7 linked regions of the Xenopus tropicalis genome follow. The protein of the gene in region 4 interacts with the protein of the main gene of each other region in a biochemical or structural test. Links are inferred from orthologs where the notes say so. Each region holds a gene or a part of one and is shown on either strand. Other genes may lie near its edges.

Region 1 (4,274 bases), on a different chromosome or scaffold from region 4:
GGTCTCAATTTGGTGACAGATTTTGGTCAAGTTGCTTCCATTTAGAAATTACTGGATTTAAAACACTAATAACTTAAAAACTGCCACAAACAAATGTGTCCACGAGCATTTTTTTCCTTCTGAAGCTTTTGCGATGCATTGTAATCATTAACCAGTCTTTGACTATTAAACTCTGATGGCCAATTGATAGAAAGAGTTCTGAGACCAATCCTCCACCACTGGTTATGACTGAGGTGAGAGATGCTGGAAATATTCATTTGCCTTTCTGTGCTTTCTGAGCAGACTTTGTGACTTTGCCAGCTCCAGCAGCCTTCTTATCGACCGCCTTGATGACTCCTACAGCAACAGTCTGCCTCATGTCACGGACAGCAAAACGACCTTGAAAAAAATAAATGGATAATTAGCTTAAGGGCCTACTGGGTAGCATTTTACAAGACTGCAAAAAGGTTATTTTGAAAAAGACTTACCAAGAGGGGGGTAGTCAGAGAAGCTCTCCACGCACATAGGCTTTCCTGGGATCATGTCAACAATGGCAGCATCACCAGACTTCAGGAACTTGGGATTGTCTTCCAGTTTCTTACCAGAACGGCGATCAATCTTTTCCTTCAGCTCAGCAAACTTGCAAGCAATGTGAGCTGTGTGGCAATCCAACACAGGGGCATATCCAGCACCAATCTGGCCTGGGTGGTTCAGGATGATAACCTATTAAGTCAGACATTTAGAAAACAATCTTAGAGTTATGCAAAGCGATTTAAATGCCCCCATAGCCAGCTATGGAAAGCCATATCACTTCCTTTAGCCATAAGCCATCTTGCATACCTGTGCTGTAAAGGTACCAGCTTCCATTGGTGGGTCATTCTTGCTGTCACCAGCAACGTTGCCACGACGGACGTCCTTCACAGAAACGTTTTTCACGTTAAAGCCAACATTGTCACCGGGCATGGCCTCGCTAAGGGCTTCATGGTGCATTTCAACAGATTTAACTTCAGTTGTTACATTAACAGGGGCAAAAGTAACCACCATGCCTGGCTTAAGGACACCAGTCTCCACACGACCAACTGGTACAGTACCAATACCTGAAAGAAACAGCCATTTTAGTGTGAATACTTTAACATACTAAATCCCAGCACTGCCAAAACAAGGCCTAAACGTACATGTTGGCAATTACTAGTCTTCCTTCTGGAGACTTGTTTAGAGTGTCTAAGCTAAAATTAGATTTATGAGCTCTTTGCTGCCAATATTTTATTCACTAGACATTAAAAAAGCAGTAACGTAATATATCAAAGCTGTTAACTAGGGACATCCATGCCTGGTGAACTTCAAATTTGTTACTGCAGTTGGGGGGGGAGGGATTATTTCAGACAAGCAGTTAACCTGTACAAAAAAAAAAAAAAAAAAAAAAGGCTGCTAAGTTTTTTTAAACAGATGCACGATTTTTAACTTGGTTTCCCCCACAAACCATGTAGGCCAGTAAACCTAAAGCACGAACAACATTCCAGCATACACATAGGAAAAGTGTTACTTACCGCCAATTTTGTAGACATCCTGCAGAGGCAGACGCAGAGGCTTATCAGTTGGGCGACTTGGTGGCAAAATGCAGTCAAGAGCTTCCAGCAGGGTAGTTCCGCTGCCAGATCCCTCTTTACGTGAGATTTTCCACCCCTTAAACCAAGGCATCTAGAAAAAACAAGATTTGTATACATCAAAATACTGTTACACTAACCAGAGAGTATGCCAGGCTGTAGACATTTAAGTGAACTGCCACAGTACTTACATTGGCGCTGGGCTCAAGCATGTTGTCACCGTTCCATCCAGAAATAGGTACAAAGGCAACAGTATCAGGGTTGTAACCAATCTTCTTGATGTATGTGCTGACTTCCTTAACGATTTCCTCATATCTTTTCTGGCTGTATGGGGGTTCAGTTGAATCCATTTTGTTAACACCAACGATCAGTTGCTTTACTCCCAGAGTGTAGGCAAGGAGGGCATGCTCACGAGTTTGTCCGTTCTTTGAGATACCAGCTTCAAATTCACCAACACCAGCAGCAACAATCAGGACAGCACAGTCAGCCTACAAGAGAAAACATACATTTTTACTCATGTGCACTTAACAGCAAGCCTGCCTCACCTACTTTAGATATAAATAGCAAAGCTGCTTGGGACTTAAAACCTACCTGAGAGGTACCAGTGATCATGTTCTTGATGAAGTCTCTGTGTCCTGGAGCATCAATGATAGTAACATAATATTTGCTGGTCTCAAATTTCCACAGGGAGATGTCAATGGTGATACCACGTTCACGCTCGGCCTTCAGTTTGTCCAAGACCCAGGCGTACTTGAAGGAGCCCTTGCCCATCTGTTAGGTGAAAAGTTCAGCAATGACATGATTAAAAACCCCTTACAAGGCTTCTGCCAAGAATGACCTGACACACTGCAATGTTTATACTCCCCCTACTATCACAAACACCCAAGGCAGGTGGCTATTAATACAAACCAAATACAAGTACACATTAGTGCACAGGCAAGACTTGTCTAAACAAACATGTGCAGGACTAAATATTTAGTAAGGGGGGGGGGGGGTGAGACTGCTGCAATACCACAAGAAGTGCGATTGTTAACAAAATTTACCTCAGCAGCTTCCTTCTCGAACTTTTCGATGGTTCTCTTGTCGATACCACCACATTTGTAGATAAGATGTCCAGTTGTTGTGGACTTTCCAGAATCTACGTGTCCAATGACGACGATGTTGATGTGAGTCTTTTCCTTTCCCATTGTGGATTGTTAGATGTTTGGCGGTGGACACTAAAAAACATCAAAAAAAAAAAAAAAGCTAAAAATATAGGTCACATCAAAGCAAGCCATGGCAGGCATTACTCAGCAGTTCCAAGGGCTGGAGACACAAGCAGCCCCACCCACAATTCAAGAACTTTGCACAGATATCTAGTTGGAAAAAAAACCCTGAAATCCCTCATTACATAAAAGGAAGAAGGCAAGAGCGAGGCCTGTACTCCCCCTGGTGTATGAGTCAGGCCCTGCATGCAGCGCTCCCAGCTCTTTTGTCTCCTCACTTGTGACTCAGCCTCCATCTTGTGGAGAAAAAAAAATCCTTCAGCTGAGAGCCGCCGCCATCTTTATGGAACAACCAGATGGGGGAACGCAACGCTAAACAGGACTAATGGTTTAGATACGTTTCATTTCTATAGAAAAGAGCAGAGCCCACACAGAACATTTAACCCAATAAGTAAGCAGCTGCTATCCCGCGTTCAAGCAGGGCCAGCAGTAACCCGTAGCACGCCGGCCATTTAGTGAGTGAAGCCGCCCCCACTGGCTCGGATACACCGGCCACGCCGAGCCTGCCTGGGAGAGAGGGTGATACACGTCAGCACTAGCGCCATTGTGCCAGCCGGGCCCTGACACTGGCAATAGCCCCAGTCCTGCTATAGTTCAGCGCTTACAGGCACCACAAACACTATGTTCGCCTGACCAGTCTAAACTGCACTACGTACAATGAATCCCATGTAGGCGCGCCGCCACCCATCCGCACAGCTCTCTCGCTCCTTCCCCAAACCACGTTCACTTGTCGAGCCTTAAGCATTTACCGTCTGGAATAATACAGCACCGGCAATATTAACCACATCCGCCTAAAGCCAAGTATATATTGAGAGGAGGCGGATGGCTTACATAGGAGAGGATGCAGCGCAGATTGGGACTAGGCCGCAAGCCTTGCTTTGGCACCGTTCTTCATTTTGCGCCCACTTTAAGCACCCATGTTCCCTTCCCGCCAAGATATCTAGTGTAACAATACGGTAACACTAATTGCCAGAAATACGCTAATACACAGCTGAAAGAGACCACGGCCCCAAGCAACTCCGTAACAAATGCACGCGTGGTTCCATAAAAGTTAAATAAACTACGGCAGAGGAAACCTATTTATCTACAATAACAACGGAACAGAACACAGCACACACATCCAATTGCAGGTTTCACTGCAAATCTCAAAATCACGACCCGGCCCTTGAACGCAACCCACTTACCTTAAAACTCGCCGCAGACCCGGTGAGGAAGAGAGCGAATCCGCCGCTAACCACCCTTTATATAGCTGCCTCTACTGGGCGGGGCTTGATCGTGACATCATCGCGCCCAGAATTCCCAAAGTGTGAGAGGCGGGGTCTTGAGTGAAAATTCAGCCTGTAAGCTTCTAGTATACTACAACTCCCAGTAGCACTAGGGCGGCTCCGGGCGCAGCTGTTGAGCGAAACGCGCGAGTTATCACGAA
Region 2 (4,070 bases), on a different chromosome or scaffold from region 4:
GCCCTATTGGGTTTATTTCATGGTTAAATGATTCCCTTTTCTCTGTAATAAGAAAACAGTACCTGTACTTGATCCCAACTAAGATATAATTACCCCTTATTGGGGGCAGAACAGCCCTATTGGGTTTATTTCATGGTTAAATGATTCCTTTTTCTCTGTAATAATAAAACAGTACCTGTACTTGATCCCAACTAAGATATAATTACCCCTTATTGGGGGCAGAACAGCCCTATTGGGTTTATTTAATGGTTAAATGATTCCCTTTTCTCTGTAATAATAAAACAGTACCTGTACTTGATCCCAACTAAGATATAATTACCCCTTATTGGGGGCAGAACATCCCTATTGGGTTTATTTCATGGTTAAATGATTCCCTTTTCTCTGTAATAATAATAAAACAGTATCTAGTATTGGGTTTATTTAATATTTAAATGATTTTTAGCAGATTTAAGTCATGGATAGGCCCTTATCCGGAAAACCTCAGGTCCCGAGCATTCTGGATAACAGGTCCCATACCCTAACTATGGTTAGCATTCAATTTGGGGGAACAGGGCAAGCTGCTATGGTGCATCAGGAGATTAGGAAGTAAAGGGCAACTGCTGTTCCTACACTTCCTGCTGTGTAAGCCCCCTAGCCCAGCGCCCTTCCTTTGGGCCTGAAGTGCCAGTACGCTTTCAAGCCAAGTACAGATACAAGGCAATGCAGAAAATGGAGAGTGGGGGGGACAGAAACCCATGAACTGTAGGAGCTTTACCCAGACAAGGCAAGGAATATACAAAAAACACACACCTACAATTAAAATAAATCATGGACTACATAGTTAGAGATCACGTCACAACCCCCGAATGTAAAAAATGAGCCAGCTGGGCACCCTGGTTGGCACCAAATATGCTCAGAATGCATGTTGTTCAGGCTGGACATAGATCCCTAATTATTTCTCACCAACATCATTGGCAAAATAAATTTAGATTCCATATGTCCCATGAAAAAAGCCCAGTGTGTATTTCGCCCTTTCAGGCTTCCTTGGCAGCACTTTGAGAAATGGGCAAGGAAAATGCCCATTTATATCCATTTTCTGTATATGACCCTGGGAGGTTCCCACACCTTTTGGGTTGACCCGGTATATAGCTTAGTACATATTGAGTGCATCAGGATATTGGGCGATTCTTCTCTTTATAGCTAGGCAATCTAGACAAAGAGGGTAATAAGGGGATGAACAGGGGCCTTTGTTGGATTGTACTAGTGCAGAGATAGAGAAACTAGAGCAGGGGGCTGCAGTTCTATAGCTGAGTAAGGGCACTGCAGGCCTCTGCTTTAGTACAAACTAATGTGGCTTTAGTTTCCCTTTAATGCCATTGATCTCCCTGACACTGAGTAAATCTGGTATAGACTGGCCATGTATATGCCAAATTCCCTACATAACTACAGAGCTGTGCCCCTTGCAGATTGTAAAGCACATCAATAGGCAAACTGGTTTGAGGACCCCCAGCCTCGCACATCAAGGCTTTAACTGTCCCTTTAACTGTCCGAACTGCAGAAGAATAATTAACAGAGTTCCCCCCCCCCCAAGGAGAAAAGTGCAGCACAACAATCATAACAGAATTCCCCTGTACTTACCCTCTCCGATCTTTTCTATTTTAGTGTACTCGTCCATGGCTGGTTCCTCAAGGCTGGATTCCTGCACAGAGGAGAAATAGAGATCACTCGTTTCAGGGATATCAGAAAAACAAACACATAACTAAAGCGCTGTCTGAGCCTATAGATATATATTTGTACTAGTAAAACAAACAGAAGCAGCCATTACAGTCCTAGTGATATACAAACTGTAGTTAAGCGGCGCCCCTCGGTGGCTGGGTTCTAATCAGAATAAGCAGCATTTCTGGTGCCCTACACATACGTGACAGCTGCCCCTGTGCTTTATACAGTATAATATACATCTGCTACTGTACAATAGCCCTTTAAGCTGCGGCAGCTGCCATACTGCTGTTCGGTGCATCATTCGAACGTTTCATCGTGACCAATCCCCGGCAGCCTTGCCTTACACTGCACCTCTGTTTGTTTCCAGTCTGGTCACTATTATGCCCTGTCCCCATCACATTACAATGGGACCCTGGCTTCCTACCCCCCTGCCGCCTTAGTAACCCAATATACATTATGGCACCAACCCCATAGTAACAGGCAGCAGAACAGCCCTATGCTGGGTGCCTAATATAAAGCTGTCAAACCTGCTGCTGAACTGCACCTCTATCCCCAGATATGATTAAGCAGTTGCAGTTAGAGTCTCATAATCCTGCTGTTGTTGAACTATAACTAGCAGCTCTGTAAGTCTATGGCTGGCAGTTGTGACTCCCCCAGCCCTTTTCTGCACCTTAACTAGTTACTAGCCAGCCCTACAGCAATAGCACTTAAGCTTAGGTGCCCAGATATGGACTACAAGTCCCAGCATCCCCCACAAACACAATCAATGCAGTCTGCAAGCTCAGCCGATGGAATTGAAATGTCTGGAGATTTAAAGGGCCTGAGGGGGCAGATCTAATGAGTGACAGCCCCTGCATGATTACACAGGGGGCAATTAAATGGCTGTAATCAGACAGGTGCGTCCATCTCCGACCCCTGAGTCCCTGTGTAGGGTGATACTCGGCACCCATAGCACGTACTCTGCAGCCAGGGCAAGCAAAATGCAGAAAAGTACCCCCTACAGCCCTTTCCCCCCTTACCTGCCCCAGCAGCTTACCCAGCAAACCCTCCGGCAGAACAAAGCCCCCCGTTTAACTCCCAGAGCCCAAGAGGCCTTTCCCCCTCGCCTACCTCAGCTTCCTTCTGCTAAAGCTGCAGCTTGCCTAACAGAGAGATTTCAAACCAACCGCGCAAAGCGCTGTCCAAGCCTAACCCAATCACTGCGGCCGTGGATATTCAAAGCGGCCAATAAGAATCAGGCAGCGGTGACGGCGCGAAGGAAGCTGGGAAGGGCGGGTAGCTAAAACAGCAGCGGGCGGGGACGTGATGTGGATAAAATCCTAGAGACCTGTTTGCGTGACTCGGCTAGGAACAGAAGTGGTCGGGCGGCTAGCTTTGTATACTGATTTAATCTAATATCCGGGAAGTGCAGTGTCTATAGCGGCACAGGGATTTCACTCAATAACAAATAAAGTAGTAAAACATAAGGTAAAAGGGGGTCCCTTAGGGTGGAGACACACAGAGCTACTAGTAGGAGCTACTTTGTCATGGGTACTATATACCAGAAAATACACTGCCATAGACAATACTGAGAATTGCCTCTGCTAAAACACACACACACATATATATATATATATATATATATATATAGAAATAATTATCAATAAATGATCTGCATTGTCTATTTTAGTAGCTGTGGCAAGTAGCTGCTACTAGTAGCTCTGTGTGTCTGACCTGAAACCTCAGTAAACTACAACTCCCAGCAACCCCCACAAAGCATTTGGCTATTAGAGGGCTTCAGCAAGAGCCGGAGGGCAGCAGAGTAGGCATATGTGTTACAAAATATAATTCCTGTGTGCCCACATGCACCCCCTTGGCCATTCTGATTAGTGATCAGGGTTCTCCCATGGGTTGGGAGAACATTGCTGGGTTGGGTGCAGGTCGTGGGCAGGGCGAGATGTGGGTGCAGGTCAACATTTTGCAGGTTAGGGCCAATTCACCCTATATGGGACAGTGCTAAAGATCTCCAGGGCTGTGGGATACAATAGCGTCACTGTACTCAAGAAATAGTAGCTAGGGTTTCCATCTGGCCATTCACTGGAGCACTGGTGGGCTCCAGTGAATATCACTTTATTAGCTGTAAAGAGGACCACAGGAATTCACACTAACAACAGCAGGGGCTGTTCCTGCTGAATTGTGCTTAGTACAGGGGAATCCCTATGCTGCCATAGTTTTATGGTATCTCTCTGTACAGGCTATGAGCAAACTTAGGGGGCTGTTCCTGCTGAATTGTGCTTAGTACAGGGGAATCCCTATGCTGCCATAGTTTTATGGTATCTCTCTGTACAGGCTATGAGCAAACTTAGGGGGCTGTTCCTGCTGAATTGTGCTTA
Region 3 (3,970 bases), on a different chromosome or scaffold from region 4:
CAGCCACCGGCCAGAGGCAACGCGGCCCAAAGCACACAGCCACCGGCCAGAGGCAACGCGGCCCAAAGCACACAGCCACCGGCCAGAGGCAACGCGGCCCAAAGCACACAGCCACCGGCCAGAGGCAACGCGGCCCAAAGCACACAGCCACCGGCCAGAGGCAACGCGGCCCAAAGCACACAGCCACCGGCCAGAGGCAACGCGGCCCAAAGCACACAGCCACCGGCCAGAGGCAACGCGGCCCGAAGCACACAGCCACCGGCCAGAGGCAACGCGGCCCGAAGAACACAGCCACCGGCCAGAGGCTATTGCAGTAAGCTCTCAAGTCCCAGGGCACTTACTGGAGGAATGGCTGGTCTGCTGTGGAGTACGATTCTCATTTGGTCCCTGTGGTTTGCCAGCCTGATGCCCATGAGTTACTGGCCTCAGTGGCCCCTGAGTCATTGGCTTCTGAGTGGACATAACAGGTTTCTGAGCGGACATAACAGGTTTCTGAGCCTGAGACACGACTCGCTGTGGCACATTGGAGGGACCCAATATCCTCTGGGCAGAGACGGCAGTCCCAGGAGGTCTAACCTGGGTGCTCGGAGGCTGGGTAACTGGGATACGTTTGGGACCCTCCATTGTGGGGTGGAAAACCTACAGTAAAGAAAAAGAGAAACCTTAGTAAGAATAATCAAATGCCAAACCATGGATGTAAAGATCTCTGGGAAACAACTTCCCTGGGCAGCTAAGGATGCTGGGAATTTCTTAGCACAGACTATGGTCAGTAGTCTGACAGTTCTTTATTACCAGGGAGAATGCATAACATTAAAGAGAGAAACCCAAAAGACTTTTACAGACATTAAACTGAGCATTTTGTGGCGCAGGCAGAGGAACGTCGTGTTACCGGCGCAAGGGCAAGTATTCCCTCCTTCTGCCTTCCAGTGTGATCGAGTTACTGAACTACACATCTCAACAGTTTACATCTCACAGCGATAAAGATAATCACCTACTGAGGCGCAGGGGAACTTAAATACAAAAAGAAATAGTGGCTCCCCAAGTGCTTAGTAACTTGGGCAGATAAAGACTTACCTTGACATTAGAAGGAAGATTCTCTTTAACAGCCCGTTCCATTATATGTGCCTGTCACCAACATATTCAGTTATATAAACCGTCAATAGAAACCGAGCAAACATTGCAAGTTCTTATGCTTAGAGAGATTTGGGGTGAGTGAGTAATCTTATTAGGCCCATGGTACCCCTGGAACTATAGCGGGGTGACTGTTACCCCAATGTTTCTATATATCTGTAACCTTGTTATGGGCTAAGGGGGCCCAGCCTGAAGGCCAGTTAGGGGGGGATTTGGGGTGAGTGCTTATTTGTGCCCTGGGTACCCCTGGAACTATAGCGGGGTGACTGTTACCCCAATGTTTCTATATATCTGTAACCTTGTTATGGGCTAAGGGGGCCCAGCCTGAAGGCCAGTTAGGGGGGGGATTTGGGGTGAGTGCTTATTTGTGCCCTGGGTACCCCTGGAACTATAGCAGGGTGACTGTTACCCCAATGTTTCTATATATCTGTAACCTTGTTATGGGCTAAGGGGGCCCAGCCTGAAGGCCAGTTAGGGGGGATTTGGGGTGAGTGCTTATTTGTGCCCTGGGTACCCTGGAACTATAGCGGGGTGACTGTTACCCCAATGTTTCTATATATCTGTAACCTTGTTATGGGCTAAGGGGGCCCAGCCTGAAGGCCAGTTAGGGGGGATTTGGGGTGAGTGCTTATTTGTGCCCTGGGTACCCCTGGAACTATAGCGGGGTGACTGTTACCCCAATGTTTCTATATATCTGTAACCTTGTTATGGGCTAAGGGGGCCCAGCCTGAAGGCCAGTTAGGGGGGGGGATTTGGGGTGAGTGCTTATTTGTGCCCTGGGTACCCCTGGAACTATAGCAGGGTGACTGTTACCCCAATGTTTCTATATATCTGTAACCTTGTTATGGGCTAAGGGGGCCCAGCCTGAAGGCCAGTTAGGGGGGGATTTGGGGTGAGTGCTTATTTGTGCCCTGGGTACCCCTGGAACTATAGCAGGGTGACTGTTACCCCAATGTTTCTATATATCTGTAACCTTGTTATGGGCTAAGGGGGCCCAGCCTGAAGGCCAGTTAGGGGGGGGATTTGGGGTGAGTGCTTATTTGTGCCCTGGGTACCCCTGGAACTATAGCAGGGTGACTGTTACCCCAATGTTTCTATATATCTGTAACCTTGTTATGGGCTAAGGGGGCCCAGCCTGAAGGCCAGTTAGGGGGGGATTTGGGGTGAGTGCTTATTTGTGCCCTGGGTACCCCTGGAACGATAAGGATCACCCTTTTTCCTGCTGGGGGGGGGGGGGGCAATCATCTCCAGACTGGGAGCCCAAATCCAAAATCCCACACATTACCAACTCCCAAAACTCAGTCATGGATTAACACTAAATACTAAGGCCTGTATGGGCCCCACACAAACACATGGGGGGGGGGGGGGGGGCAATACTAAGGCCTGTATGGGCCCCACACAAACACATATGGGGGGGGGCAGTACTAAGGCCTGTATGGGCCCCACATGAGCCAGTGCCACTGGGAGATGCAGTTTCATTGGCCCATAAAGATAACCAATGGCTGAAGCACAGAGGGTGCAGCTGTTACAGCCCAGAATATATAACTCAGTTCACACAACACTCCCGAACCATATGAAACAAAGCTCCCCATTGGCCCAGTCACACACACACACCTGGCAGCCGAATGTGCGGGCCGGGACTCTAGCAGCTCTCACACAGACCGGATTGCAGCAGCTGAAGCCACGGACAGACACTGGTTAGCGGCAGACGCAAAACCGACAGCTCCGCTTCCCGTCAGGCAGAACACTCGCCTCACTTCCTCCAACCGTCACAGCCCACTCCGATTCAAATCGCCCGCTTTTAAATCCCTTTAACCCGCTCCGAGCGCTGATTGGCTGCAGGCGGTCAGCTGCCTCGCTTTGATTGGTGGAGAGCGGAGATCCGTTAGGTATCCGAGTGACAAGAGCTTGACGCGCAAGGCGCCTGCGCGTTGGTGTGTGACGTGTTAGACGCTGGCCTGTCGCGCCTGTATGACGTATAGTCGGGTCTGGGAGCGCTTTCTGGTTTGAAAGAGTTTTATCTGGGCCTTTACTGAGTATCTGTGCGCACTTACCGGCATAGCCCCGCCCCGCCCAGGAACCGGAAGCCTTTCTGCTCGGTGAGTATCCTGCCCGCTCCCTCTCTGCCAGTCACTATGTGCTGCCCGCTATTATATCCCATACACACAGCAATATGGCTGCCCAATGGCTCCGGTGCATCGGTCCCTTCCCTGCACTGCTGGTTCTGACTCCTGATACAACTCCCCAATACCCATTCATTCCTCATTCTCACTGGGTTTATAGTTATGTGTAACTGTCACTGTGTCTGTCCCTTTCCCTTCCCTGCACTGCTGGTTCTGACTCCTGATACAACTCCCCAATACCCATTCATTCCTCATTCTCACTGGGTTTATAGTTATGTGTAACTGTCACTGTGTCTGTCCCTTTCCCTTCCCTGCACTGCTGGTTCTGACTCCTGATACAACTCCCCAATACCCATTCATCCCTCATTCTCACTGGGTTTATAGTTATGTGTAACTGTCACTGTGTCTGTCCCTTTCCCTTCCCTGCACTGCTGGTTCTGACTCCTGATACAACTCCCCAATATCCATTCATTCCTCATTCTCACTGGGTTTATAGTTATGTGTAACTGTCACTGTGTCTGTCCCTTTCCCTTCCCTGCACTGCTGGTTCTGACTCCTGATACAACTCCCCAATATCCATTCATCCCTCATTCTCACTGGGTTTATAGTTATGTGTAACTGTCACTGTGTCTGTCCCTTTCCCTTCCCTGCACTGCTGGTTCTGACTCCTGATACAACTCCCCAATATCCATTCATTCCTCATTCTCACTGGGTTT
Region 4 (4,067 bases):
CCAGATTACAATTCCCTCTGAGCACCAATTGTTCCTTTGCTATAGTGATCAGGGGAAATGCAAGCACCGGGTTCTGCAATGTAGGTGTGGTAAAGGCATAATCTGCCAACAAAATGTGTAGGTGTATGGCAGCAGTTCTATAACTGTAAGGAACACAGGTGCAGCCTTTATAACTGCGGCTTTGGCATTTAAAACAACTTAGTCTTCAAAGTGCCACATTGATGTTGAAGATAAATGAGAATGTGGTTTTAGCCTTGGACATCCAACAGACATAGATCTGGTTTCATGTACTGTATATCTTAAATATAAAACAAAGTTGTGGCACGAGTTCAATGCCAAGGCAACTATACAAATTAAATGTAATGGAGAATGCTCAATAAAAGACTGTATTATGTCTGAGACTGTATAACAGTAAGGCATGGATTACTATGTGGACAGAACATTCCTGTGCTGCCGTTCTATATAAGAGCTGTCCCTGCCCATACAGAAAGTCTCCCCAGAGGCAACAGGAGCAATGCAACAACATCCTGTACACACTGCATTCACTGAGCTAGAAACTGGGACTGCTCCCGCTTGTACTTATGAGAAGTATGCAGAGAAGGAACATTCTGTGCATATAAGCTATGCCCTCATACTTTACGGGGAACAAATGGAAAGTAACCTATAATTATAAATGCATTTGGATATGGTGTTTACTTTTCTCCGTGCAGCAGTTCACCATAATAGGAGGAAGCATGACTATTTACCTGGGAATGTAATGACCAACATAGCACTATGGTATTACTAAACAATCAGTTATTCAGCATTCAAATAACAATAAGCAGGGTAAATTTAAAGGAGTGACAGTATCCCATTTACAAAGCCCCTCGTTATTGTCTTGGTATGCAAACAGCAGAACCCACCCAAGCCCCTCCTGGCAGACTCCACATGAGAGTGTTACCTACGTTGATTAGAATACAATGCAGATCAGCAGGTTCCCCAGGCTTGTCAGAGCCGCCCAGGATCTCAGCTAGCCGGCTCATGTTGCTCACTCTCAGGATGTTGATGTCATTCTCACAGCAAAATGCCTGGATCAGGGTGAAGTGGATCTGTAAAGCGATATCCTGATCGTAGGTATCGTCAGTAGCCAACAAACAGAGCACAACGTTGTCTGGGTCCCTGAGAAAACAAGAGGTGCAGAGAAAACATTTAAAGTCAGCCTCTTTTCAAACCCAGCGCAATATTGATTAGTAAACGCCATTAATGTATGTATATAAATCTGCGTTTCCAAACGCTAAGCTAAATGGAATTAATGGGGGCAATTCACCTTTGATCTAACTTTTTTTTTTGTCAGAGCATGCCTTATTCTTGCCAACTTTTCAAATACTCCTCATTTTTTACAATTAATTTCCCTTCCTACTCTTCTAGCTTGCAATTTAAAATGCTATCTTGTAATTGGGGGACACTGATCCCAGCAGCCAAAATCACTATTGCTCTGTAAACCTACAATGTTATTGTTGCTTTTATTACCTTTGTATTCCATTCATGCCTTCTCCTATTCATATTTCAGTCTCTCATTCAAACCACTGCCTGGTTGTCAAGGTAAATTGGACCCTAGCAACCAGAAAGCTGAGCAAACAGCTAAATACTTCAAAAACCACAAACAATAACAGATAAAGAGCCAATGCAAATAGTCTCAGAATATATTACTAAAACTTAATCTAAAAGGTAAACGCAGCCTTGATTTTTTTATTTTTAAGTTTGATTTGTGCACTGTGACAACCATAATGTTAAAGTTGACTTTAAGGGGAAGTAACAAAAAAAGCCTACATACACATTGAGAAGTTTTGCAGCTTCGTACACCCCAATAGTGATGGTCCTCTGCAGTTTGGCCTTGCAGAGCACTTCCTCCAGTGCGTTTCCCACTGACTCCATCCTGCAGAATAACACAAGAAACACTCATGAGCATCTGAGCAAAGCATGCAAATGTGACTCCTGAGCTATTCCCAACAGCATCCTAACCATGCATGAGTCAGGCACTATGTCTGAGTAAGTTCTGCAGCAACAGGCACTTAGAATACCTCTCAGGCACAGACATGTGCACACACACACACATTACATATAGCTACTTACAGAGAGTACATTTATCACAGATTTACACTTTTGAACAAAAACTCAGTCCCAAAGTGAGCCATTTGAAAGGCCATTGCAGAAGCCACTAAGGAGCACTGGGCTGTGCTGGATGCTGGGAGCTGAAGTCCTATACAAGCAGGAAGGCCACAGTTTAAAAGGAACAGAAGCCCAGGGGCAAGGGGCCATAGGGCGAATGCACCTCATGACAAAATGATCCCTGCTGCAGTAAGGGGCAACCGGGGCGGCTATGCTATTGGTCGTTGTAACAAAATGATTACATGGGCCGTTGTGATGTAGCACCCACCGACCCCAAGAGGAGGTGCAAGTGCCCACAGCGCAGATGGGTGCATGGAAGGCATCTGTTCACACCAAACTACCATTTTGCGCAATGCTTTTGGCTGACCCCACAAACCCCTTTCTGACCCAGGCAAGTCCTCGCAACAGCAGCAACACACGAACACAGACTGCCCCATCCGCACGAACACAGACTGCCCCATCCGCACTATAACCCGCTCTGTGGCGCAAGAGATCTTACTTTCCAATGCTCTGATCCCCAGACAGCTGCTCCTCCAGAGTCATATTATATTGCTGTACGGGTTGCACTGCTCCGTAGCGCTGCAGATTTGTAGTGGATTTTGCGGCCAGCAAGGCTCTTCCTGGGAACTAGAAAGTTTCACCTCAGTTCTCGGAACTGCTGCCTGATACAGTAGCGCGCCGCTGCCCCGTGTTCTCCAATTGCTGACTCTACACACTCTGCTCTCACGCCTTCTCTACCCGGCTTCATACGCATACACCCAACCAACCACAGCTCCCCTCATTTGCCTATCGCGATGCTGATTGGCTCATGTAAATCAGGCTGCCGGCCACAGACTTGACCTCTTCTGCTACTCTGGGAACCGAGAGTACAGCGAGTGCGGGGCGGGGCTTACTTAGCGGCCTGCCCTGTGATTGGCTCCATACAGTTACCAGGTGCTGAACATTGTGTAAATAACCCTTTCACTGCTGACAATATTGGAACCTTACCGACTGTTACAGAAAACTTTAACAATTGCATGTCTTTGTTTTAAAATAAAGGTATCATTTCAAACACATTACATTACAGAAGAAAATAAGCCTTGTTTGCCACAGTGAATGTAAGCGCTAGCTAGCCCTGTCCGGCCATTGCATTTGTAGTAGTGTTTAGCTGTAATAACGTGTACAATTATCTTTATAGATGCATTCAGCTGTCAAAGGGAAAACTTGCAAGGGACTATCTTTTCAGTCTTACATTTGTCTCATTAATGGTACAAAGCTTTCTTCACGTTATTTGTTCTTTTTCACTTTAAATGGTAAATTACGAATGATAACGTTTTATTGCTAGCATATTAGATATCACCTTACATGATAACTATCCCAATGGAGACTCACCCCACTGGGGGTCCTTATATAAGCATCTTTATATGACATCAATCTACCCCTACTGTTCAGGTATAACATTATAATGTCACAGCAAAGACCTGGAAAGCACTGGTCTGAGGCATCATTAAAAGAATACAGTGAAACCTCAATTTTACATACCCTTATTTCAAGGATTTTCCTGCATTTTACCTTTTTTTTGCATTTCAATGGGTGTTTTTTCCCTTTTTTAAATTGATTCCACAGATTTTGCTCCTGATGTTCCCATAAATGTCTTTGTCCTCTGTAATATTATTATTAGTAAAATTAAGAGGTTTATATAACTATAGAGATGCATACTTTGCTATGGTTCTGTCTGTAAACAGTAAATGCTAGTATAGCTGCAGCTCATACAGTCATGCACAAATCATTTATTGCTTTAGGTTGTGCATGTGACTGGCAGGGAGGTCTTGCAAATGCTGTCCCATAGTGTAACAGTAATGCTGCACTGCTTAACCCTTGTCATTAACACACTAAATGTTGTATTTCAAAGTAAAACTGCCCCCTGTGCTTATGTCCTT
Region 5 (4,278 bases), on a different chromosome or scaffold from region 4:
CAACTCGAAGTATGAACCATTACATTACGAAGGCAAGATCTGCTTTACCTACCTACCTTCTCACTATCACGTACATAGGGCTTGGATAAATATTTACCAATGTTGTTAACATATGAAAAAAAAAACCTTGGTCGTTGAGCAAGTGTTTAATATTATATATAAGGCTTGCTGTCTGCTAGTAAAGTCTGTACAGTGAATCAAAGTCATACTAAAGCTAAAGCTCTCTGGTCTATGGGAGCATGGCTGTACAAGAATTAACCCTTATATTACGTCTAGCCTAGTATTAGGGCAAGTGTTCGGGTGTGGTGATGTATTATTTTCCATAGATGTGATGTGTCTATGATCATTTCGATGATCTCATGCTGGTGCCAAATCATTCAATAAGTATGACCGTGAAAGCTGTCTAAACTGTGCACTTGTGCTCCCGCCTGCAAGTTATGGCACTATTAGACGCACACAGAGTGTGGTAAGTACAAAAATATGATAGTCAAACACCTAACATTAACTAATTTATAATACCACATTATAGCAAAGTGCTTGATCGATAGTTCAGTGCTGGATTTGACCCCCAAAATGTTTGGAGCACACAGATCATTCTGTTTCTTCAAATTATAACAGACAGTGCTGGATATTTTACAATCATGGTGCCTTAGTCTAATATGCACAGTGCCAGTTTGTTGACCCAGAAATTATTAATTAAACCCCCAACACATCAAGCTTCAGTAACAGCAATATAAATCAAGGTATAATAAAAGAAAACAAATGATATCCATTCTTTTAGTAGTGGGGTTGGTTTGCCAGCCCACTAACATTCTGCTGCCCCAAATCAATTTTCAATAATCCAGACTTGCAGAAAGAAATTTATATTCATAGAAAATATTGGAGGGAAACTCATCCTTGCATCACTTTATCCTAGGAGGGCGGCCACTTGGCAGGCATTTTAACAGTAAACATTACACTTCATGCCAATGTTATCAAGAGGAAATAAAGATAGCAGAGAAAAGGTACCAGTCCTGTGTCTGTGGCAGGTGCCCATCAAGTATTCAAAAGTTGCAAAAACATCAAACTCCTCACTGCGAAGCATCCATGTTAAATTACAATGCATTTATATAGATTGTAAGCTCTACGGGGCAGGGACCTCCTTCATCTTGTGTTTCTGACTCTTACTGCAACTGTACCTTGTATTTATTTGTATTTATTGTTGTACTTTGTATTTATCCATTATCTTTAACCCCCTGTTTGTAATAATGTATTCTACTGTACAGCGCTGCGTATACAAGTAGCGCTTTATGAATAAAGATATACATACATACATACATACATACATTTGTGATTTGTAGGCTCTTTACAGGTGCTAATAGGGAATGGTGGGAGATGCTGAATGCCTGGTGTTATGGGTGAGCCAGTACAGCAGGGGTTAACCTGTAGAGCCCATAACACTGGGATAAGCCTTAGCACTTCCAAGGAAATTGACTGATTATAAATATGCAAGAAATAAGGACTAATAAAAAAAAGCAATTGCTGATGAGAATACATGGGGTTTTTCTGAAGTGTCCAACCTTTCACCCTTTTTCTCTATCTTTGAAGTAAAAACTTCCACAGATGCTGGGAGTTGTAGTTCTGAAACAGCTGATGGGCACAGGTTGGAATGGTAATAAAAATGTTGCAGAAAACAAGCCATAAAGATGTTTAGTTCAGAAATGTTGCAAATAATCATGGTATATAAATGCCTCTTAGTTGGGTGAAGCAGTGTGATCCCAATGAGTGACAAGCTGTAGGTTACACTAAAGCCTATGGAGCTGTTCAGCCCAAGTAGTGCATCAGCAGGAGGAAGCTATGTCTGGACTAGTTCCACAGAAAGGCTGAGCCCATAGATCTATGTGGCCAGACACACACATCATAGCCTTTGTGATCCTAAGGGTGAAGACACATGGCAATTCTCAGTATTGTCTATGGCAGGGGATTTTCTGGCGTTTAGTAGCTGTGATAAAGTAGCTGCTACTGGCAGCTCTGTGTGTCTTCACCCTAAAGATTATTTTCTCTAGATTAAAAACGCAGTTATTACAACCTCATCGCAACAAAACTGAAGCTGCATCAATCGTCCCCACTTTTATTTGCAGTGACTTAGTTGCTAGGGTCAAGGAGTTGTAGAGGACGCTTGTGAATAGACAGGTAGTCAATGACAACTAGTAACCCACACACACAGTAATAATGCCCCGAGCTAGCAGCTGTAAGAAATAGGATCAGTGAGGTTAGCGGGGGGTGACAGGTGCCGTAACATTGTCACAGTAACGTCCAAAACAAACACAGGTACAACATTGAGCTCCCCGCAAAGCCGGACCATCCTCCTACCTCCTAGAGCGGTCCAACAAGCCCAGTGGCAGGGCACAAAGCGTCCCAATTGCGCATCCCAGCTACAAATACAGGTGCATCCGCGCAAAGTTGCCCTGCCTGCCATAACTGCATCCTTGCACACAGGGACAGACAGACGGGGATCACTGGCGCTACAGAGGTACATGCATAACAACTGGGTAAAGGCTGCAGCAACAAATCAAACAGCTATACAGCTTGAAAGACTATTGATAACGTAAATTCTATATAAACCGCAACTGGACAAACCAACCAAGTGGTTATTACTTGTAGAAGTCCCGTAGCATTTTCCTACCTTTCATTTGTTTTCATATGTCTGGCAAACAGCAGCGCAATATCCACGGGGATGGCACAACAAACAACCCGAGCGAAAGTCCCGGCTACATTCAATTATTACTACGCTCACTCTGCTTCTTAAATCCTACATTACGTCAGGAGCTGGAGTTCCCGAGAGCGAGAGGGCGCGGCAACATACGAGGGTGGGGTTATGGCTTAATGGGCGGGGGCTCAAGGAACCCGCTTAGACATCAGCCACGCCCTGTCTGCTTCAATCTTCCGAATAGGGAATATGAGTGTGGCGTTGAACTGTGGGAGTTGTAGTTTCGGCCCCTTTCACAACGAATATTTACGGTGTACATATTGGGGTGACTGTAATTACTGCTATATGGTAGAACTGTAAAGTTAGAGACTCTGCCATCAATTTGGTTGGCTGACGCCCCCACTGCCCTGTTAAGGAGAGAGTGTTAGTTGCGCATAGCTTTGCTAGGTTGCTTTTGCCGAATTGGTTTGTATGGCTGAGAGCGGGTAGGACTCTTTGAGAGAGGCTTTGATCAAAACATTTTGCTGCTGAAATGTGACGATAAAGCCACACTAAAGGACTAGGAAATTAATATTCACTTGGGGTTGGGTGCCAATTTGTTAGGCCCACCCCACACACACAAGAGAATATAGCTGCTATGTTGACTTACTCATTTAGCTGTGGGTGTTCAGTATAACATTTGGGTGACTATTAGCATGGTTGGGCAACAAATTAGATACCCATAATGATATTTGGATAAAATGGGACAAAAAGGACAATGTTATACTTACAGACTGATTCGAAATATAAATGAAGAAGCGCCCTTATACAGTGTATACCATTCGCATATTTCTCTACATATCAAAATACCATCTATAGCAGGAGTAATTTTCAACTATCAGAACTATTGTTACTACCCAAATAACTTCATCCAAACTATATAACAGTGCTTATGATATTGCTACCTGTAATGTTCCTTTGTTGTTATCTCACTGCTGAAAAATTGCATAAAGAGAGATAAAAAAAAAGAATTTGGGTGACTGTTGCAGGTTCGGGTTTGGGTGCGCTTGAGTGAATTGGCACTTCAGTCAAAAATGACTTTTCTTGTCTTTTAAAGGGGTAATTTACCTTTCTATTAATTTTTTAGTTTGGTGTAGACCAGGGGTCATCAACCTTTTTGACCCTTGAGTAACATTTAAATATAAAAAAAGTTGGGGGGCAACACATGCATGAAAAATGTTCCTGGGAGTGACCAAAAAAGGCTTTTATTGTCTGTTTTGTAGCCCCTGTGTGGATTGACAGACTACAGGAGACTCTGTTTGGTAGTAACCATGGTCTTTATGCCTCCAAAACTTGCCTCCAAGTTAGAAATTCAAGAATTAAGACCTGCTTTGAGGCCGCTGGGAGCAACATAAAAGGGTGTGGTGAGCAACATGTTGCTCCCAAGCCACTTGTTGGGGATCACTGCTGTAGACACTGTAGGCCATTTGCAGTTGGTTTTATGTGATTCTTCAGTTATTTAGCTTTTTGTTCATCAGCTCTCTCAGGTTTGGAATTTCAGCAGTTATTTGGTTGCTAAGGGTTGTTTACCATAGCAACCAGACTGGGTT
Region 6 (3,500 bases), on a different chromosome or scaffold from region 4:
CCCTCTTTTAGTGCCTTTGAGGGGGGGGAACTGGAGATGGGAGCTGACCAATTCAGTGCAGTGCTTAAATGCTGACTAACTTGTACTAAGAAAAGAAGAAAACGCATTGCTTCTGCTAAAAAAAATGATCCTTTATTAAAGGAACAGTAACACTAAAAATGAAAGTGTTTTAAAGTAATTAGAATATAATGTGGTGTTGCCCTGCACTGGTAAAATTAGTGTTGGCTACAGAGACTCTACTATAGGTTTATATAAATTAAGCTGCTGTGTAGCCATGGGGGCAGCCATTAAAGCTGGAAAAAGGGAGAAAAGGCACAGGTTACATAGCAGATAACAGATAAGCTCTGTAGAATATAATGGGGTTTTATCTGTTATCTGCTAACTTACCTGTGCCTTTTCTCATTTGAATGGCTGCCCCCATAGCTACACAGCAGCTTTGTTTATATAAACTATAGTTGTCCTTCTAAGGCAAACACACCAGTTGTACCAATGCAGGGCAACAGTATATTATATTGTAATTACATTTATACACTGTCAGATTTTGGTGTTACTGTTCCTTTAAGTTAGCATGAGTGGCTCCTGCGAAGCAAACGGCCTGGTGTGTTTCGGGAAAAATAATCATGGGATAGACCTATGGTTTAAGGGTCTTTCCTGAAAAGTGTCAGGCAGTAGCCACTCAACTTAATAAAGTTTAATCAAATGTATTTTAGTAGGAGTGCAGTTTTTTCTTGTGTGGTGGGTTTTTTTGTTGTCTGTGATGTCTAAATTCTTGTATGTATTTGCAGAAAAAAACACGTCTGGAGGAAGAGGACGAGGCTGATTCAGACGAGTATGTATATAGTGTGCTTTTCTTTATGCTTTGAGAGGAATTGCACTTCTTCAGGCACTGTCCTTTTCCACTGTTGGTTGCTATCGTTCTTTCCCTTAGTTTGTGTAATATTTTAGCTGTTGCAGAACAGCTCTCCTGGCAAAGCAATGTCCCCAAAGCTAACTAAACAGATTGCTCTGTGTGACAATCACCCCACTGAGAGGTTTGAATGTTTTTTTAAAAAAAAACAAAAAACCCCAGTGATTGTAATTGCTAACCTGAAACCCAGGGCTGGTACTCTTGTTAGGAGAAAACCGCACCGACCCGGGGTAGCTGCAAAGCCATGATCCTTTACCTTCTGTCTTCACGCCGCTTGCACAGTAAAGTGAAAAGCCGAACTTTATAACAAAACTGCTTTTTTACTCTACTGCACATGTGCCAGCCTCAGGATTCCCCAGGACAGGCAAGAGATTGAAAAGGATTGCTCATTTGCAGCTACTCTGGGCTGGTGATTTCTCCTAACAGGAGCACCAACCTGGGGTATAAAGTAAGCGATTCTCTGAATAATGAAATGAGATTTAAAGTTCTTATAAGATTTTCAAATAAACATTTATTACAACAAGAGGTAAGATAGAAGAGGAGAGAGGGTGAGCCTGGGGGGAGAAAGGCAGACATGCACCAAGCTCCTGTTGCAGCAAGGCTTCCCAGATTTTGTCAAGTGTACCCATAATAACCATACAGTAATTCACCTGCTTTACCTTTTTATTTAGGGATGATGATGATGATGACGATGATGAGGAGGAGGACGACGAAGATGAGGATGAAGAGGATGAAACACCTGTTAAAAAGGTAACTTGGTGACATTTGTATTTTTTTTCACTTTTGTTAACTGTTACAATGCAGTTACATACAAATATACTAACTGCAACCGGCTGTGACATCTGACATGCAAAAATCCACCAATCACAGGGTAGTACCTCTGTGTGACTCTCCCCCCCCCCCCCCCCAAACCATTTCATATTTGTTGTGCTGACTAGTTTACAACTGTAAAATGGGTAGTTCACCATCTAGACATTTTGTTATGGTTTCCACTGTTTTCTAATAGTTTGTCAGAACATGTTTGTTGTTTTTTAGTTTTGATTCTTGTGGGGTGGGGTCATTGATTCTGTAAACTTATCTAATTTGTTTAGTTTGAGCAAAAGGCAGGTTTTGTACAGGTATCAGACAGCTTCAGCATGAATAAGTATCCAGTTCTTGTGTCTTAGGTATTTTTAAATTTGCATTTCCTTTATAGACTGACTTGCCTACAAAACCAAAGGCAGCTCAAAAGTTAAATCACAATGGGAAGGCTTCTGAATTACCCACACCACTAAAGACTCCAAAAGTAAGTGGGGGGTGCCTAAACTGGGGAGCTGGTAAATCTAATTTAGACTGGAATCCCTGAGAAGCTTGCAATCAGGGTTTGGGTTGAAACAAAGTTACAAGTTTAAGTTTTACTTACACAAGGTCATTTTAAAAGTACCCACAGATCTTGATTATGCACTTTAAGCAATGTTGAAGCTGCTTCTACTTGATAACTAGCAGAGGTAGGGCCCCTGGTGTGCAACCCACCAGGAAACAGCAGTATCTACTGTTGTCTGTCCTGTACCATCTCTGATCCCCTCCAATATCAGATTTTAGATCCAGGGCCTTCTGTCTTCCTGTTTGTACCCAGGTAACTTGTGTGCCCACTACATAAACAGCCAAGTGTACAGAGTTCTATATCGTGTTCAGCCAAATTTTATTTTATTTATTTTTAAAGCAGTTGTCCTAAGATATGTATTCAAAAGTTCCCCCCAGGAAATGCCCCTAGAACTAAACATTGAGCTTGGGGAAGGCCTTTGAAACTCTGGTAAATGTGCCAAACCATATTACATTACAAAATTAAATATGCAGCCATTTCATGATTTTTAAAGTTGCTTAAAGTTTTGAAGATTGGGTGGAGTTCCCCTTTAAATGTAAATATTCTGATTTTCTGTTAAAAGTTTTTTTTTTTTTCTCCTTAGACTCCAGAGCAGAAAGGAAAGCAGGATACAAAGCCTCAAACACCAAAGACACCAAAAACGCCTTTGTCTTTTGATGAAATAAAAGCAAAGATGCAAACTTCATTAGAAAAGGTAATCTAAGTATGAATATAATTTTAATCTGAGCCAATATCAAGCTATCCTGAGGATAAGAAATTTACTTTGTTTTTTCACATCGGCCAAAAAGCTTAAACGGTTCAGTGTAAACATGCCTAACATTAATTCAGAACACTACATCAAGTCAATGGTTACTAACTGGTAATGGGTTAGAGACCTGCAAAGGAAATAGTAGTGTTCTGGCTATTTTAGACATTTTAAGATGTTAAAATGTGCATTCTCACTTTTGTTTCCTCAGGGCACTGTTCTTCCTAAAGTGGAAGTAAAGTTTGCAAACTATGTGAAGAATTGCTTTAGGACAGAAAATCAGAAGGTAAATTTTAAGGCTTTCGGTGCTTAAGAATTTGTATGGTTTATGGTAAATGCTAAAGACCCTTCAGCATGAATTGCATCACTAATGCAGCCTTACACAGGCAGAATTTATGAATTGATTGAATGCTGTAATTGTTAAACTGAGCTCTAGTCTGAAATGTATATTCAGTAATCTGAGTTAAGATGCAGTGTTCAGGCTG
Region 7 (3,985 bases), on a different chromosome or scaffold from region 4:
AACAACTGCGTCACCAATCTGGCTTAGATCTCTGCAGATGCGTGCAAATTCACCAGATGGCATCTTTATTACACAGCTGTACTCTTGTTCCTGTCATGAGAAACCAGACAATTTAGCAGAGTGCAATCCAAAATTAACTGCATTAGACAGGGTTACTTTAGACTGGCATAAGAGGTCACATAACTGCCATGGGTACAGAGGAAGGGGAGTTTCTACAAGCAGCATGTATATTACCCCCTTAGAACTTTGTGAAACCCCAAGACTGGAACTATAAAAACCAAAACAACTGAAGTGTACAAACTGAGTGTACACTGCTTTGGGTTTAAATTTTGCAATAACTAATAGACAATCAAAAAGTGTCCAGTTACGTTTTGAACAGTGATCCTAGCGAATCTGTTTTGTAAGCAGACAAAAATCAGCAACAACTTAAACATTAAAAAAATATACTTACAGGAATGCCCAGCTGCTCCACATCAAGGTCCATTAGCTTCATTTCATAGTCAGAAACTTTCTCTTGATCTAAATTAAAAACATTTAAGTTAAACTTAAGCAGAACAAAAACGTTGGGCAGAAATGCTTCACTGTTTGAGGTTCTGTACCAGCCCAAGGCAAACACGGCCCTTTAGCAGGGAAGATATGTGCCCTCAAATAGCTTCCACATCTTTTCTGCTGATTCACTGCCCATGCTCTGTGCTTAGGGACCGACAATATACTGTACATATATGGAATATAAACGTCACAAGATAAGGCTGAATAGTATTTCAGATTCTTATCACTGGCACCTTAAAAACCAGTGCAATTAGCATTAGAATTTAATAATGCCCTGTAATAGCTATGACAGAAACCTAGTTTTTTTTTTTTTTTAATGATTTACAACAACCCCTAAACTTCACTTCTAAACTGCACAAATATACAGTATATGCACACTAATTTAAAACATAAGCCTAATTTAATTTAATTTATTATCAGTAGTGACCAGTGCCTTCTGGATCAGAATTTAACATGGTTTGATGTCAGAAGGAAATTTTACAAGGCCACAAAAAGAGCCAAGATGGCTACCTGCTTTGTACAACTTTGAAGGCTGGTACAGTATAATCAGTAATTCAAGCATTTCTTGTTTCTATTTTAGCACAAATTAATCAAGATACTATAGTTATAAAAATCCATTAAAAAGTTCCATTACCTATAACTGTTTTAGCCCTGCCTTCCAAGCCAATGAAATAAGCACCAAGCTACTATAATAAAGAATTTACTTATTGGCATGAAGGGTATGAAAACCAAAGTGTAATGTTGCAAATACTCACTTGGCGACTCAAACACCATTGTAACTGTATCAGCATTGTCTTCTGCCCTCAGAGTAATGATATCTTCACTTGCAGCACACTTCAAGATCTTAGACATACTGTGAAAAAAAGTAAAGATAGATATATAGTTATATATAATGCCAAACAGGAGACTGGCAAAGGTAGACATCTTGGTAAGCAACCTGGGCATTTTACTCCAATGTATGTATGTATAACTTTATTTATAAAGCACCACAAGGGTACGCAGCTTACACACAGGGAGGACAAGATATATATATATATATATAGGAAGGAGGTCCCTGCCCCGTAGAGCTTACAATCCGAGTAAACCAGGGGCCCTGTCTAAGCAAGGCGGCACAAAAAAATCCCCATTGAAGGAGCTTTCCAACACTCCAGATGCATACAGCAGCGTATTCCTTTTACCTTTTTATATAGATTGTAAGCTATATGGGGCAGGGACCTCCATTCTCTTGTCTCTTTGACTCTTAACTTATTGCAGCTGTATCTTGTATTTATTGTTATACTTTGTATGTATCTATTATCTTAACCCCATTTGTATTAATGTATTTTACTGTACAGCGCTGAGTACATAAGTAGCGCTTTATAAAGATATACATAGAACCCATGAGGGCCCATTAAAGAAAAGACACTGAGCAGCTGTGGGCCTCAGTGAAGTGTAGGGGAAGTGTTAGACAAAGTGAGGCAACACTAAGGAAAATAATTTTATTTCGGTTCATTGATAAAATTCTTATTTTCCAACTATCCTGTGGCATTTGGATTAGAGTGGCCGCACTGCTGAAGCTTGGCACAATGAGCCGGTTTCCCGCCAAGCCGGCGGCTTTGTTGAAGTTGGCGCGTATGTGACGTCACGCGGGAAGCCAGGTTGCGCGCGCAATCACTGAGACTTGAACGGACAAGTCCATGACAGAGGCGGGGGGGGGGGGAGTAGATCGGCCAAGTCCATGACAGAGGGGGGGGGGAATATGTATGTATGGAATACATATTTGCGCCAAATACAATAAAATGAGAGCGTGTATCGCGCTACGTGTACCCAATAGTAAAGTCTGGACGCATTAAGCCTGCCGCACTAGCCCGTCCCTTCAACTAGTGATCTCCGCAGTGCTGCGCACTTACTAAGCGCCCACATAGCTTCCTTACCTGCTCATCTTGACGCCGATGGATTGATTGCGATCGCACCTGTAGGTGTCAAAGCCGTCCGATCGCAGAGTGAGCTGCACCAACGAGACGTGCGAGGAGTCCATGCTCTGCAAGCTGATGCCGCTCGATGTGATGTCCCAGCACGCCTCATCGATCAGGTCCTTCAGGGCCTCCAGCACTTTCTTCAGGATGGAACCCTGCACCAAGCGAGCTTCAAACATGGTGACGGCTGTACGGAGCTGGGGGAAAGAGAGAAGTGTGCCGGGGGTGCAGATGGCGGAGCTCAGTAGCTGAATTCCCTAGTACCTCTGTGGTACCTCCTCCCAACTGAAGCTCCGGCGCCAAAATGAGCCCGCCAGCCGGCCTTCCGCCGCTTATATTATAGTGGTGATGTCACTATACGAATGTAAGGCGCCAAAATTATGACCCGCCCCCTCATATCTTTCCTTGTGCAGTCAGTCCCTGTCACTGAAACACCATGGTCTCCGTTATATAAGCTTTGCTTGTGCCCCATTATGAACTCTACACCTAATAAATATGAAAAATAAATATAAATAACTGTAATTTGTTGGATTAGCTATACTAGTTCTGGTCAGTGACAACAGACCCAAAGGACATTTAGTTACTGGGGCCCTGAAAATGCAGAAAGGATGGGGTCATTAATTTTTTTATATATTAAACCGCAGACATATTAGTTCTATGTTTTACATTTTTTACTATCATGCCCCATTACACCTCCAATCACTCTCTACCACCTTTACTCCCTACCCCAGGGCTGCCACCTGAGCCCAAAATTTTACTGCCCTGGCCTGTAAAAATAATGCTTGATGCCAATGTAATTAATGGTGGAGATATAAATATAGGAATGCATGCTGCGAAGGCCAGAATACTTGCAAAATTATAGGGCCCATTCATTAAACCACAATCTTTTTGTTTTTGAGAAAAAATCTTATTCTTTCTAATTTGTAGAACTTTTCACAATGTCCACAATAATTTTGTTAAAATTCCATGACTTTTTCATGGTTTTCGTTAACTTCTACCAAAAAGTTGGAAAGACTACAACCATTTCGGAATTCAATTTGGTAAACTATCTTACTATCTTTTGGCCAGGTTGGATCTGTGCCATTGAGTCCTATGGAAGACTATGAAAGCCAGAAAGGTTTTCACACTGTTTACGAACGTTCAGATCCGAAAATTCGGAACGCAACCACGATATTTTCGTACGAGAAAAGAATTTTTGTGGTTACTCCGAATTTTTTCCAATCATGATTTTAACCACCCAAAAATCATGGTTTAATGAATTAGCCCCTAAGTGTTCCAGCCTTGTTTGTAGGCCAAAAAACAAAAGCTCTACTGCCCCAGAACAGCCAGTGTTGAAGCTCAAATGGACTCAGGGTTAAGTAAAATCCCCTGAGGCTCTGTGAGTACTACCATCCACAAGATCAAAAAATTGCACCATCTGCAAGATCAAGGCACAGCCAATATATTGTGACTGTCACCAGAACGAATATAGGTCTTGTATT

Evidence for each region.
Region 1: the proteins of gadd45a (region 4) and eef1a1 form a complex in vitro, tested with the Homo sapiens proteins (2 studies listed by BioGRID). The link is inferred for Xenopus tropicalis from reciprocal best matches to the Homo sapiens genes GADD45A and EEF1A1.
Region 2: the proteins of gadd45a (region 4) and cdk1 form a complex in vitro, tested with the Homo sapiens proteins (5 studies listed by BioGRID). The link is inferred for Xenopus tropicalis from reciprocal best matches to the Homo sapiens genes GADD45A and CDK1.
Region 3: the proteins of gadd45a (region 4) and aurka form a complex in vitro, tested with the Homo sapiens proteins (2 studies listed by BioGRID). The link is inferred for Xenopus tropicalis from reciprocal best matches to the Homo sapiens genes GADD45A and AURKA.
Region 5: the proteins of gadd45a (region 4) and cdkn1a form a complex in vitro, tested with the Homo sapiens proteins (3 studies listed by BioGRID). The link is inferred for Xenopus tropicalis from reciprocal best matches to the Homo sapiens genes GADD45A and CDKN1A.
Region 6: the proteins of gadd45a (region 4) and npm1 form a complex in vitro, tested with the Homo sapiens proteins (2 studies listed by BioGRID). The link is inferred for Xenopus tropicalis from reciprocal best matches to the Homo sapiens genes GADD45A and NPM1.
Region 7: the proteins of gadd45a (region 4) and pcna form a complex in vitro, tested with the Homo sapiens proteins (4 studies listed by BioGRID, with this or other methods). The link is inferred for Xenopus tropicalis from reciprocal best matches to the Homo sapiens genes GADD45A and PCNA.

What each region holds. Positions count from the first base shown.
Region 1 is NC_030681.2:91,801,105-91,805,378, reverse strand, and holds the start of eef1a1 (elongation factor 1-alpha 1), read right to left. Parts: upstream 2,801-4,274; 5' UTR 2,771-2,800; coding exon 2,627-2,770; intron 2,355-2,626; coding exon 2,175-2,354; intron 2,072-2,174; coding exon 1,775-2,071; intron 1,678-1,774; coding exon 1,527-1,677; intron 1,077-1,526; coding exon 820-1,076; intron 703-819; coding exon 468-702; intron 379-467; coding exon 254-378; 3' UTR 1-253. UniProt on the Homo sapiens protein: Translation elongation factor that catalyzes the GTP-dependent binding of aminoacyl-tRNA (aa-tRNA) to the A-site of ribosomes during the elongation phase of protein synthesis.
Region 2 is NC_030683.2:16,801,326-16,805,395, reverse strand, and holds the start of cdk1 (cyclin-dependent kinase 1), read right to left. Parts: upstream 2,801-4,070; 5' UTR 2,735-2,800; exon of another isoform or gene 2,718-2,734; intron 1,679-2,717; 5' UTR 1,655-1,678; coding exon 1,618-1,654; intron 1-1,617. UniProt on the Homo sapiens protein: Plays a key role in the control of the eukaryotic cell cycle by modulating the centrosome cycle as well as mitotic onset; promotes G2-M transition via association with multiple interphase cyclins.
Region 3 is NC_030686.2:6,088,120-6,092,089, reverse strand, and holds the start of aurka (aurora kinase A), read right to left. Parts: upstream 2,801-3,970; 5' UTR 2,746-2,800; intron 1,126-2,745; 5' UTR 1,117-1,125; coding exon 1,075-1,116; intron 640-1,074; coding exon 342-639; intron 1-341. UniProt on the Homo sapiens protein: Mitotic serine/threonine kinase that contributes to the regulation of cell cycle progression.
Region 4 is NC_030680.2:83,503,629-83,507,695, forward strand, and holds the start of gadd45a (growth arrest and DNA damage-inducible protein GADD45 alpha), read right to left. Parts: upstream 2,801-4,067; 5' UTR 2,692-2,800; coding exon 2,648-2,691; intron 1,916-2,647; coding exon 1,814-1,915; intron 1,159-1,813; coding exon 945-1,158; intron 1-944. UniProt on the Homo sapiens protein: In T-cells, functions as a regulator of p38 MAPKs by inhibiting p88 phosphorylation and activity.
Region 5 is NC_030678.2:54,674,804-54,679,081, forward strand, and holds the start of cdkn1a (cyclin-dependent kinase inhibitor 1), read right to left. Parts: upstream 2,801-4,278; 5' UTR 2,673-2,800; coding exon of another isoform or gene 2,666-2,672; intron 1-2,665. UniProt on the Homo sapiens protein: Plays an important role in controlling cell cycle progression and DNA damage-induced G2 arrest. Involved in p53/TP53 mediated inhibition of cellular proliferation in response to DNA damage.
Region 6 is NC_030679.2:20,070,074-20,073,573, forward strand, and holds part of npm1 (nucleophosmin), read left to right. Parts: intron 1-785; coding exon 786-829; intron 830-1,578; coding exon 1,579-1,657; intron 1,658-2,102; coding exon 2,103-2,192; intron 2,193-2,853; coding exon 2,854-2,964; intron 2,965-3,226; coding exon 3,227-3,301; intron 3,302-3,500. UniProt on the Homo sapiens protein: Involved in diverse cellular processes such as ribosome biogenesis, centrosome duplication, protein chaperoning, histone assembly, cell proliferation, and regulation of tumor suppressors p53/TP53 and ARF.
Region 7 is NC_030679.2:123,022,222-123,026,206, reverse strand, and holds the start of pcna (proliferating cell nuclear antigen), read right to left. Parts: upstream 2,801-3,985; 5' UTR 2,684-2,800; coding exon 2,463-2,683; intron 1,403-2,462; coding exon 1,305-1,402; intron 520-1,304; coding exon 452-519; intron 91-451; coding exon 1-90. UniProt on the Homo sapiens protein: Auxiliary protein of DNA polymerase delta and epsilon, is involved in the control of eukaryotic DNA replication by increasing the polymerase's processibility during elongation of the leading strand.